Linked DNA regions of Stegostoma tigrinum. The protein of the gene in region 1 interacts with the protein of each later gene in a biochemical or structural test. Links are inferred from orthologs where the notes say so. Each region holds a gene or a part of one and is shown on either strand. Other genes may lie near its edges.

Region 1 (3,750 bases):
TCCCTCTCTTATTAGGGAGAAAGAAGCAGTAAATGAAGAGTAGTAGAGGAAAAAAAAACACATTTCTGAACTTAGCATTAAATCAAATAGCTGCATTTACAAATTTAAGAGTATTTAAAAGTCTTTTTTTTTGAAAAATTCCATAGGACCTGTTCTAACTGTAGGCTTTAGTTGTCGCAACGTGATAAGATGATTCACTTAACATCGTTTCATTTAAGGAATGGTGTCAGAAGTGCAACTATAAAATTGAGCCAAGTACTACATAAGTGGTCAGCAGAAACGACTGGATTTATGCTGGCCCCTGTAAGTAAGGAGGAAAATTTGGAAAGGAGGCACAGGTACTTGGCAAAACAGTAGCAGCTCTTTAAATGCAGCCAACACCTCAATTAAAGTGGCTTCATCTCCAAGCGTACGTTCTCCCTACATAAGGTCAGAAAGCACACGACATCAGGTTATAGTCCGAGATAGTAAGAACTGCCGATGCTGTTGTCAGAGATAACACGGTGTGGAGCTGGAGGAGCACAAGCAGACCAGCAGCATCAGAGGAGCAGGGAAGTTTTTCTGAAGAAGGGTCCCGACCCGAAACTTTCCGGCTCCTCTAATGCTGCCTGGCCTGCTGTGCTCCTCCAGTTCCATACTGTGTTATACCAGGTTATAGTCCAACAGGCTTATCTGAAAATACAAGCTTTCACAGCCTCAATCCTACTTCAGGTGTTACCTGATTTCTTGTCCACCCCAGTCCAACACCGGCATCTCCACATCACTCCATTAAACACTTAGAAATAAAATCTTGATTTTGATATGATACAATAGGAGTTTCTTTCTGCACTCAGGGACACCCAACCAGAGGCACTGAAAGTTTGCAGATACCGTGGGAAGGCCGGATACAGCAGCCGTCTCCATTGATCCAGACACTGAGCCTTGGGCGGGCCAAAGGTCTAAAGCCCCGCCTCCTTGGGGGGAGCAGCTGGCGAGGCCCGTGCCCGAAGGCCACGTGATCAGAGGAAGGGCTGGCTGACTGGCCGTTCTCTGGCGGGCAAGCTGGGCACGTGACTTGAAGTGGCGCGAAAACGAAGATCGCGCGCCTGAGGAATCGATCGGTTGCTGTCGTGTACGATTCTTTGTTAATCTGACCGACATTGTTTTCCTCCGAGATGGATCTGGCGGAGACCGCGGTAGGAGCCGCCGGGCAGCCGGTGAAGGATGAGCTGGCGGAGAAATGTCAGAAACTATTCCAGGAATTCCTAGAGGAGTAAGTGGAGTTAGCGGTGAAACTTCTGAGGGTGGGGAGGAGCTAAGGACCGATTCCGGGGCCCTCGTACCAGTAGGGGAGATTGAGGAGATCAATCCCGGACCATCGTTGTGTCACTGGCTGCAGTGTCTTCAGTCCGTGCATGTCGCGTTAGGCCTAGGGTGTGTTTGCGCTCTGAACTGTTGAGCCACACTCACTCCGCGACGTGATTTTCCTCAGCTCGGTCCGTGGTAGGCGGCAGCTGCTGCTGTTGGTACAGCCCAGGGCGCCGAGCCGCAGCGGCTCAGTCAGCGCATCGGCTGTCCTGCTGCACCAGCATCCCCGTCAACAGCACGGAATTATACAGCCGATTGCGCGTTCTTTGTACTGCCAGCTCTTTCCTTCCCCACCCACCCAAAACACCTGAAACAACTTCTCCCGCCTCGTTGGTTTTTACTGAAGTTTTAGCCATCTCCTGGATCCTTTAAACTGCGCTGCCAGCGACACCTGTAGAGGGCGCATGAAGTACGCATGCGTTTGCAATCCAGCGGTGGACAGCCGCTGTCAGTCTCTATCATTTCTGAACGGATTGATTAGATAATGCCAACGATAGTACTAGCCAAAAGTTCTCTGTGATGTAGGGTTCCCTGTTGCCGTCTGTCTGTCTGCTGCCATTCAGACTGCCCAGAGAGCCAGGAGGCTATACCTGAGGGTGCTGTAGCAGCTGTATACCTCACCACCTTGACCACATTCCAGACATGTAGCAGCTACTTCCGGACACTGGGCTTGGTCCTCTGCAAAGGATTCTTCCTAAGAAAGTCCAATGCTTCATAGGCACCCTGGAAAAGCATAGCTCCACGTTAGTTATCCCTACCCTCTGCTTTCTCCTTATCATCAACCAGTAGAAAATAGAGTACGCTCCCACTTGTATCAGATGCACATCACCAGGTGATGAAACAAACATAGAGAATTTGGGAATAAAGCAAAGAGCTATGGATGCCGGCAATCCGAAATAAAAGCAGAAGTTACTGGAGAAACTGAACAAGTATGGCAGCATCTGTGGAGAGACTAAGTGTTGACACATCAAATCCAGAATGACTTCAGAAGTGAAAGATACATAAAAGTGCAAAAAAGTCTTTATGAAGAGGGGTCATACTGGACCCAGAACATCTGTTTCTCCCTTGACACATGCAGTTAGTCCTGCTTAGTTGCTCCAGCATCGCTTTTTTTCCCCCCCTGATTTCCGGTATGTGCAGTATTTTGCTTTTATACACAGTATTATGTCTCTGGACATGCAGATCCTTGCTATGGACTCATGGTTACAGACAGCAAATGCATAGGGACCATTTTGGAGTAATGAATAATCACGCCATTTAAATTTTGTTGCTGTAGTCCAGAAGTTAGCTATTTGGGACCCATTTTTGGCACATTCATAACAATTTCTGGTTTGTTCTGATCATGAGATCCCTGTTACTAGATGACAGTATAATTTTATTAAGCATTGATCTGTTAGTCTCCTTGGTCTTCCAAGTTGAGATTACAAAACGACATTAGAATTCATGTGGACAAACATATCTCCAGACTCTTTAGCACCAAAGCTCTGGTCTCCCAAATCAAACTGCAAATTACTACTTGTTCCCTTTGGCTCATATTTGAAAATTCAGCTCAATTATCCATTGTTCTTAACACCTAAATGGATTTTATTTGGGATCTTGTTCCATAGGTTTTAAGATTATTCCTATGCTACATTTTAGCATTGTTCAGTGGCCAGAATAAGTAAATTCAGGTTGCTATCAGGATTTAAACACACTTTTTTTGTAAGGTGTTTATATAACAAGGAAGAGAGAAGCCAAAGTGAACATTGGCCTTTTAAAGATCAAAACTCCTATGATGAAGATTGAGAGGTTGTTGAAGGAAAAAAAGTCCCTCTTCCATCATCAAGCAAGTTGGAGGAGACAAAATTGTGGTACACATTTCATCAAAATCTGCAAAATGCTACGATATTACCCCACTGAAGATGTCCCTCGCAAAAGGATTAGTCTTGTTACCAAACCTTTCAGCCAGCACAAAAGTTGCCTTTGTGCATCCGTCACACTAGGAACTGTACTTATCATGCTTGCCAGTTGCCATAGGTGTAAGTGTGAGTTTTTTTTCTTCTTTATTCATTCACGGGACGAGGGCGTTGTTGGCTAGGCAGCGTTTGTTGCCCATCCTTAATTGCCCAGAGGGCAGTGAAGAGTCAACCACAATGCTGTGGGTCTGCAGTTAAATGTAGCCAGACTAGGTAAGGCAAAATATCAATTGTTGCTCTTCCGGTTTATGTTTGGCCTCATTCTGACACTGGAGACAGCCAAAGGCAGTCATGTCACCGTGGGAGTGGGAATTAAAATAGCTAGCAACCAGTGGCCTGCTGCTGGTGACTGATCCTTTGGCTCTCAACTGAATTGCAGAGAGCCAACGAGAAGTTTATCATTGCAACATTGACAAAGATTGACCTGTCAGATGTAAAACTTGCCTAC
Region 2 (3,750 bases), on another chromosome or scaffold:
GACTTCATGCAAGAGCAAGGCTTCTAAATTTACCAAAAAGGTGATCATCTACAGTTAAATCAATAACTTTCCTAAACACCTTTCCACAATTTGAGCAATTTTGGCATTTCTGTAAAATTCTAAAGTTCTAGGAGTCAATTTTATTGTTTGTGCATCTGTTTGAGGATAGCCTTAATATAAAAACTTGGCCTCAAATTTCAATTGTTCTAATGTGTGTACATCCAGCTCATCTGCACTGTGCACTCACAAAATAAAACACGTTAATAGAAAGTCTTGCATTCATGTGGCACTTCTCACAACCTCAGGAGATTTAAAAATACTTCATAGTCAATTAAACTCATTCAAATTGGGATTGTTGTTGTAATGTAGGAAATAAGAGAGTAAATGTAGAGAATGGAAGGATCTACAAGCAGCTATTTGATAACAATAAAACTGTTTCATTCTTGGTATTAGATGAAGTATAAATATTGGCAGTGAAAACTTATTTGATTTTCTACATGCATCTAAGAGAGTAGGTGGAGTCTCTGCTTATCTTTCCACGGAACAGATAGCACCTACTGTTGGTGTAGGATGCAATCAGTACTGTACTGAAACACCAAACTGCATTTTGTGCTCAAGTCCCCGGAGAAGAACTTAGATGTTCAATCTAAGATTCAGGAGGTGAATCTTCTACTACTAAGCTACAATTGCCAGTACAGCAACTCTGACATCTGGCATCATACAAAAACAGCTGCAGAATGTTAATGCCCAACAAAATAAAATCATGCCATACATATTGTACAGGTCGCCACAAAGTAGCTTGGGCTACAAGCAGGCTAAACAAACCACAAGTGAGTCTAAGCCCGATTACATACATCGTATTTTTAATTGCTGACTTTTTGATAGACCTGCTATTAGGATCGGACCACTCAATTTTCTTTCAGTACACGTCAGGCTCAAATCAAAGACTGCTCAGTGACACAACCTCCTTCCGCGCCCCGTGTAAGGTGATAAAGGGATCCAAACCCTGTGGACGGCTGAACTGAATACTTCTCGATGAGACTTCAAATCACAGACACCAACACCCTCGCAACCAAGCAACATGAAATTCAAGGATCCAGATGTCGACCCTGGAGTGACTCCTCCTCCTCCTCCCCCATCCCGAGCCGGGGAGTCTGTCTGCCATCCTCTCAACACAACCGCGGGCCTCATTCATTCACCCACCCGCTGAGAGAAGGCTGCTGTCCGCCGCCTGCGCCTGACTGACAGGGATGAAAGGCACCGGGAAACTGAACTCGGTGTCGGAGGAGAAAAGCAAGTTAGTGCCGCTTTTCCTGTCGGCCATCTTTACTCCGGCACCGACACGTAACCAGCTGCTCCGCGGAGCGGGATGAGGGGCGGGGCGGGTGGGGGTCAGAGGTGAAACCGGCCCGGTACGTCATGGCGCAGCGGGTCAGGGGTCAGCGGCTGCGTCAATGACGCGATTTTCCCGCCATCGCCGTTGGTCACTTCCCTCCCCCCCCAACCCCCGCCCTGCCCCCCCCTTTCCCCCTGTCCCGCAGCAACTTCTCAACATGCCGTGTGTTGACGACTGGGTCAACGACCCTCTAGGCGCCGTGCAAAGTATTTTTGGTGAGTTTGCTTTCTTTCTCCTTTGTTGCCTAATCGCTTTTATTTTTGTTTTTGTATTTGCAAGTTCTTCCATTCCTGGTCCGCGATTTCTGTGCTTGTGCAGGCCTCCCATCCCAGCTCCTTCTCAGCAGCTCCTTAACCTTCCACCAACACCCCCCCCCCCCCCCACCACATCACACACAACCCTCTTTTTCTTACACGGAGCTTTAAACTTCAATTCGGAGACAAAATTGAACTTTACAGCTTAAGTATTTATATCAATCCCAGATCAAAAGGCAAGGCTTCGGCAAATAGTTCTTTTCTGTAAGCTGATTGCTTGTGAGACCATTTAAACTGTGAGCTACTTTTAAAACCATTGGCTTTATAATATGCTTTGTACTGTTAGAGAACAAGCCTTTAAGATCCAAGACCAAGCTGATTTCCATGTGGGTGGAGACAGTTATGGAAATCTGGCAGTATTCCAAAGTAGTTCGGTGTATTTTCTTTAAATTGCAAGTTATCGAACTATCAGAAGACTTAGCCTTGTTTCATGCTGTAGCTCATTTCTTTTGTGCACGTTTAGGGGACTTCCTTCAGTAGGTGGATTCATGTTGATTTACGCAAATGATAGAATATATTCCAAACAACTAATTTGATGCTTGTCAATAACATAATCAACCAATTTCCAAACTCCTGGAAAGATCGTTATCATGAATATAGTCTGGCATATTTGACTTTTGGCAAGTCCAGTGCTTCCTGACTGATATACATCTGTTTTTGTGACTGTTAGATCTCACATTGTAGTTTGTACTAAAGTGAGTCTGTTGAGTGGCCTTAATAAAATAAATCTATGTTGAATATATTTCTGAACTTTTAATTGTTTGAATAGTTAAATGATTATTTTGGAACATTGAAGAAATATTTAATCATGGGAGTATCAGCAATGTTATGTGTAATGATCCACAAATTGTGCATATATTATTTGCAGAACAGATAGAGTGGACAGTGAGAGTTTTTTTCCGAGGATGATGACGTCAGCTTGTACAAGGGGGCATAGCTAAAAATTGAGGGGTGATAGATTTAAGACAGATGTCAGAGGCAGGTTCTTTACTCAGAGAGTGGTAAGGGCGTGGAATGCCCTGCCTGCCAATGTAGTTAATTCAGCCACATTAGGGGCATTTAAACAGTCCTTGGATAAGCAGATGGATGATGACGGGATAGTGTAGGGGGATGGGCTTAGATTAGTTCACAGCTCAGTGCAACATCGAGGGCCAAAGGGCCTGTTTGCGCTGTATTGTTCTATGTTCTAACTGGTCAGCTTAAGGAGGCAGGCTTTTCCACAGATGCCAGCAGTCAATGCCAGAGGCTAGAATTTGATTACCATGGCTATTTGACAGTTGTGGGGCTGGACATTAAACTGATAGGAATAGGAAAGGTCACAGAGAGATTTGAAAATGAGGATGTTTGTTGTTTAACAGAAAGCCATTGTGAATCAGTGATCAGAGCTGATACAAGTGATAATACTAAAGAAGTTGTAAGAGGACCAGTTTGTCCTGAGGTCTGTAACTTTCTTATGTATAAAGTACCTTGTTTGATATTCAGTACTGAATGAATAGATGTTAGGGACACCAAACTATGATCTTTGGTTTTCACCCACTCTGTTCCTCACCTGATAACCATCTGAGGATTAAAAACAAAGTTGCTAGAAAAGCTCAGCGGGTCTGGCAGGATCTGTGAAGATAAAAAACAGTTAAAGTTTCGGGTCTGGTGACCGTTCCTTACTGGACCCGAAACATTAACTCTGTTTTTCCTTCACAGATGCTGTTTGATCTGCTGAGCTTTTCCAGCAACTTTGTTTTTCCTGATTTACAGCATCTGTAATTTTTTTTTTTTTCGGTTTTTATTTATCATCTGAGGATTACCCAGTATGTACTTTGTATGTATTTGTATTGTAATAGTTTTATTTTTGCCTCTGTGACATTGTCTGATTGATCTGTCTCAGAGCATTGTTGCTGAAACCCTCATCCATGCCTTTAGTATGTCCAGCCTTGACAATTCCAACCTAATTCTGGTCAGTCCTATACGTTTTAGTTTCCACAAAGTTGAGGCCATTCAAATACCTTTATCCATTCCATTTCTTGCACCAGATCCTGTTTATTC
Region 3 (3,750 bases), on another chromosome or scaffold:
ACCCACACACCCCCGAACACTACAGGCAATTTAGCATGGCCAATCCACTGAGGCTGCACATCTGTGGGAGGAAACTGGAGCACCTGGAGGAAACCCAGGCAGACACAGGGAGAACATGCAAACTCCACACAGACAGTTGCCCGAGGCTGGATTTGAACCTGGGTCCCTGGCGCTGTGAAGCTGCAGTGCTAACCACTGATCCACCCAGCTGGCAACTCTTGTTAGCATCCAGTGGCTGCACTCAGTTGGAAAACAGTGTATTGGTCCTACCTCTGAATGCAGTCACATTGAGCTGGGGAATCTGAGATAATGGGAACTGCAGATGCTGGAGAATTCCAATATAATAACGTGTGAGGCTGGATGAACACAGCAGGCCAAGCAGCATCTCAGGAGCACAAAAGCTGACGTTACGGGCCTAGACCCTTCAACAGAGAGGGGTATGGGGAGAGGGTTCTGGAATAAATAGGGAGAGAGGGGGAGGCGGAACTGGGGAATCTCATGGCTCCCGCTCCTCTGATCCATGCACATGAAATGCGATTCAGTAATTCTGTTCTTGCTCCATTGATGCATTCCTGCCCTCTGAAAGTTATCAACATCCTCTGCTCATATTTACAATTTTGTTGCAATTAAACTGAATAACTATCCACCTAATTTCCAATTCGATGTGATGAAGTGACCCTGGTCTACCACACGATCAAATCCAGCTGCAGTCGCTGTGTCACTAACCCATTCAGAACAGCGCCAGCTTTGAAACTCCCGCCCGCGCTGACGGCACCGCCAGCCTCAAGCCCCCAGCAGCGCGGTGACGTCATTGCAACGTGTTGACGTTCGCAAGGCGCGAAAATCCATGGGAAGAGCGTTACGCAGAGAGAGTGAGTGTGAAAGACGGAGAGAGAAAGATGGGGGAATGAGTGAGTGAGAGAGAGAGAGGGAGATGGGGGAACAATTCAGTGTGTGTGTGTGGAAGAGAGGTGGGGGAATGGGGTGAGAGAGAGAGAGATGGGGGAATGAGTTGCTGTGTGTGTGAGAGAGAGAGAGATTTTGGAATGAATGAGTGTGTGTGTGTGTGAGAGAGTGTGATGGAGGAATGAGTGACTGTGTCTGAGAGAGAGAGAGATGGGGGAATGAGTGACTGTGTCTGAGAGAGAGAGATGGGGGAATGAGTGACTGTGTCTGAGAGAGAGAGATGGGGGAATGAGTGACTGTGTGTGTGAGAGAGTGTGATGGAGGAATGAGTGACTGTGTCTGAGAGAGAGAGATGGGGGAATGAGTGACTGTGTGTGTGAGAGAGAGAGATGGGGGAATGAGTGACTGTGTGTGTGAGAGAGAGAGATGGGGGAATGAGTGACTGTGTCTGAGAGAGAGAGATGGGGGAATGAGTGACTGTGTGTGTGAGAGAGAGAGATGGGGGAATGGGTGACTGTGTGTGAGAGAGAGAGATGGGGGAATGAGTGACTGTGTGTGTGTGAGAGAGAGAGATGGGGGAATGAGTGACTGTGTCTGAGAGAGAGAGATGGGGGAATGAGTGACTGTGTGTGAGAGAGAGAGATGGGGGAATGAGTGACTGTGTCTGAGAGAGAGAGAGATGCGGGAATGAGTGACTGTGTGTGTGAGAGAGAGAGATGGGGGAATGAGTGACTGTGTGTGTGAGAGAGAGAGATGGGGGAATGAGTGACTGTGTGTGTGAGAGAGAGAGATGGGGGAATGAGTGACTGTGTGTGTGAGAGAGAGAGATGGGGGAATGAGTGACTGTGTGTGTGAGAGAGAGAGATGGGGGAATGAGTGACTGTGTGTGTGAGAGAGAGAGATGGGGGAATGAGTGACTGTGTGTGTGAGAGAGAGAGATGGGGGAATGAGTGACTGTGTGTGTGAGAGAGAGAGATGGGGGAATGAGTGACTGTGTGTGTGAGAGAGAGAGATGGGGGAATGAGTGACTGTGTGTGTGAGAGAGAGAGATGGGGGAATGAGTGACTGTGTGTGAGAGAGAGAGATGGGGGAATGAGTGACTGTGTGTGTGAGAGAGAGAGATGGGGGAATGAGTGACTGTGTGTGTGAGAGAGAGAGATGGGGGAATGAGTGACTGTGTGTGTGAGAGAGAGAGATGGGGGAATGAGTGACTGTGTGTGAGAGAGAGAGATGGGGGAATGAGTGACTGTGTGTGTGAGAGAGAGAGATGGGGGAATGAGTGACTGTGTGTGTGAGAGAGAGAGATGGGGGAATGAGTGACTGTGTGTGTGAGAGAGAGAGATGGGGGAATGAGTGACTGTGTGTGAGAGAGAGAGATGGGGGAATGAGTGACTGTGTGTGTGAGAGAGAGAGATGGGGGAATGAGTGACTGTGTGTGTGAGAGAGAGAGATGGGGGAATGAGTGACTGTGTGTGTGAGAGAGAGAGATGGGGGAATGAGTGACTGTGTGTGTGAGAGAGAGAGATGGGGGAATGAGTGACTGTGTGTGTGAGAGAGAGAGATGGGGGAATGAGTGACTGTGTGTGAGAGAGAGAGAGAGAGAGAGAGAGATGGGGGAATGAGTGACTGTGTGTGTGAGAGAGAGAGAGAGATGGGGGAATGAGTGACTGTGTGTGTGTCTGAGAGAGAGAGAGATGGGGGAATGAGTGACTGTGTGTGTGTCTGAGAGAGAGAGAGATGGGGGAATGAGTGACTGTGTGTGTGTGAGAGAGAGAGAGAGAGATGGGGGAATGAGTGACTGTATGTGTGTGTGAGAGAGAGAGAGAGATGGGGGAATGAGTGACTGTATGTGTGTGTGAGAGAGAGAGAGAGATGGGGGAATGAGTGACTGTATGTGTGTGTGAGAGAGAGAGAGAGATGGGGGAATGAGTGACTGTATGTGTGTGTGAGAGAGAGAGAGAGATGGGGGAATGAGTGACTGTATGTGTGTGTGAGAGAGAGAGAGAGATGGGGGAATGAGTGACTGTATGTGTGTGTGAGAGAGAGAGAGAGATGGGGGAATGAGTGACTGTATGTGTGTGTGAGAGAGAGAGAGAGATGGGGGAATGAGTGACTGTATGTGTGTGTGAGAGAGAGAGAGAGATGGGGGAATGAGTGACTGTATGTGTGTGTGAGAGAGAGAGAGAGATGGGGGAATGAGTGACTGTATGTGTGTGTGAGAGAGAGAGAGAGATGGGGGAATGAGTGACTGTATGTGTGTGTGAGAGAGAGAGAGAGATGGGGGAATGAGTGACTGTATGTGTGTGTGAGAGAGAGAGAGAGATGGGGGAATGAGTGACTGTATGTGTGTGTGAGAGAGATGGGGGAATGAGTGACTGTATGTGTGTGTGAGAGAGAGAGAGAGATGGGGGAATGAGTGACTGTATGTGTGTGTGAGAGAGAGAGAGAGATGGGGGAATGAGTGACTGTATGTGTGTGTGAGAGAGAGAGAGAGATGGGGGAATGAGTGACTGTATGTGTGTGTGAGAGAGAGACAGATGGGGGAAATGAGTGACTGTGTGTGTGTGTCTGAGAGAGAGAGAGATGGGGGAATGAGCAACTGTGTGTGTGAGAGAGAGCGATGGGGGAGATGAGTGACTGTGTCAGAGAGAGATGGGGGATTGATTGACTGTGTGTCTGTGTGTGTGAGAGAAGATGGCGGAATGAGTGACTGTGAGAGAGAGAGAGAGAGAGAGAGAGAGATGGGGGAATCAGTTGCTGTGTGTGTGTGAGAGGGAGAGATGGCGGAATGAGTGACTGTGTCTGAGAGAGAGATGGGGGATTGATTGACTGTGTGCGTGTGTG

What was found.
Region 2: the proteins of mcm6 (region 1) and mcmbp form a complex in vitro, tested with the Homo sapiens proteins (2 studies listed by BioGRID). The link is inferred for Stegostoma tigrinum from reciprocal best matches to the Homo sapiens genes MCM6 and MCMBP.
Region 3: the proteins of mcm6 (region 1) and chek1 form a complex in vitro, tested with the Homo sapiens proteins (2 studies listed by BioGRID, with this or other methods). The link is inferred for Stegostoma tigrinum from reciprocal best matches to the Homo sapiens genes MCM6 and CHEK1.

What each region holds. Positions count from the first base shown.
Region 1 is NC_081360.1:73,160,062-73,163,811, reverse strand, and holds the start of mcm6 (DNA replication licensing factor MCM6), read left to right. Parts: upstream 1-1,032; 5' UTR 1,033-1,154; coding exon 1,155-1,252; intron 1,253-3,164; exon of another isoform or gene 3,165-3,363; intron 3,364-3,577; exon of another isoform or gene 3,578-3,750. UniProt on the Homo sapiens protein: Acts as a component of the MCM2-7 complex (MCM complex) which is the replicative helicase essential for 'once per cell cycle' DNA replication initiation and elongation in eukaryotic cells.
Region 2 is NC_081373.1:26,240,723-26,244,472, reverse strand, and holds the start of mcmbp (mini-chromosome maintenance complex-binding protein), read left to right. Parts: upstream 1-1,511; 5' UTR 1,512-1,553; coding exon 1,554-1,611; intron 1,612-3,750. Other genes in the region: sec23ip (SEC23-interacting protein), read right to left, coding at 1,204-1,324. UniProt on the Homo sapiens protein: Associated component of the MCM complex that acts as a regulator of DNA replication.
Region 3 is NC_081385.1:31,886,042-31,889,791, forward strand, and holds the start of chek1 (serine/threonine-protein kinase Chk1), read left to right. Parts: upstream 1-825; 5' UTR 826-872; intron 873-886; exon of another isoform or gene 887-911; intron 912-3,750. UniProt on the Homo sapiens protein: Serine/threonine-protein kinase which is required for checkpoint-mediated cell cycle arrest and activation of DNA repair in response to the presence of DNA damage or unreplicated DNA.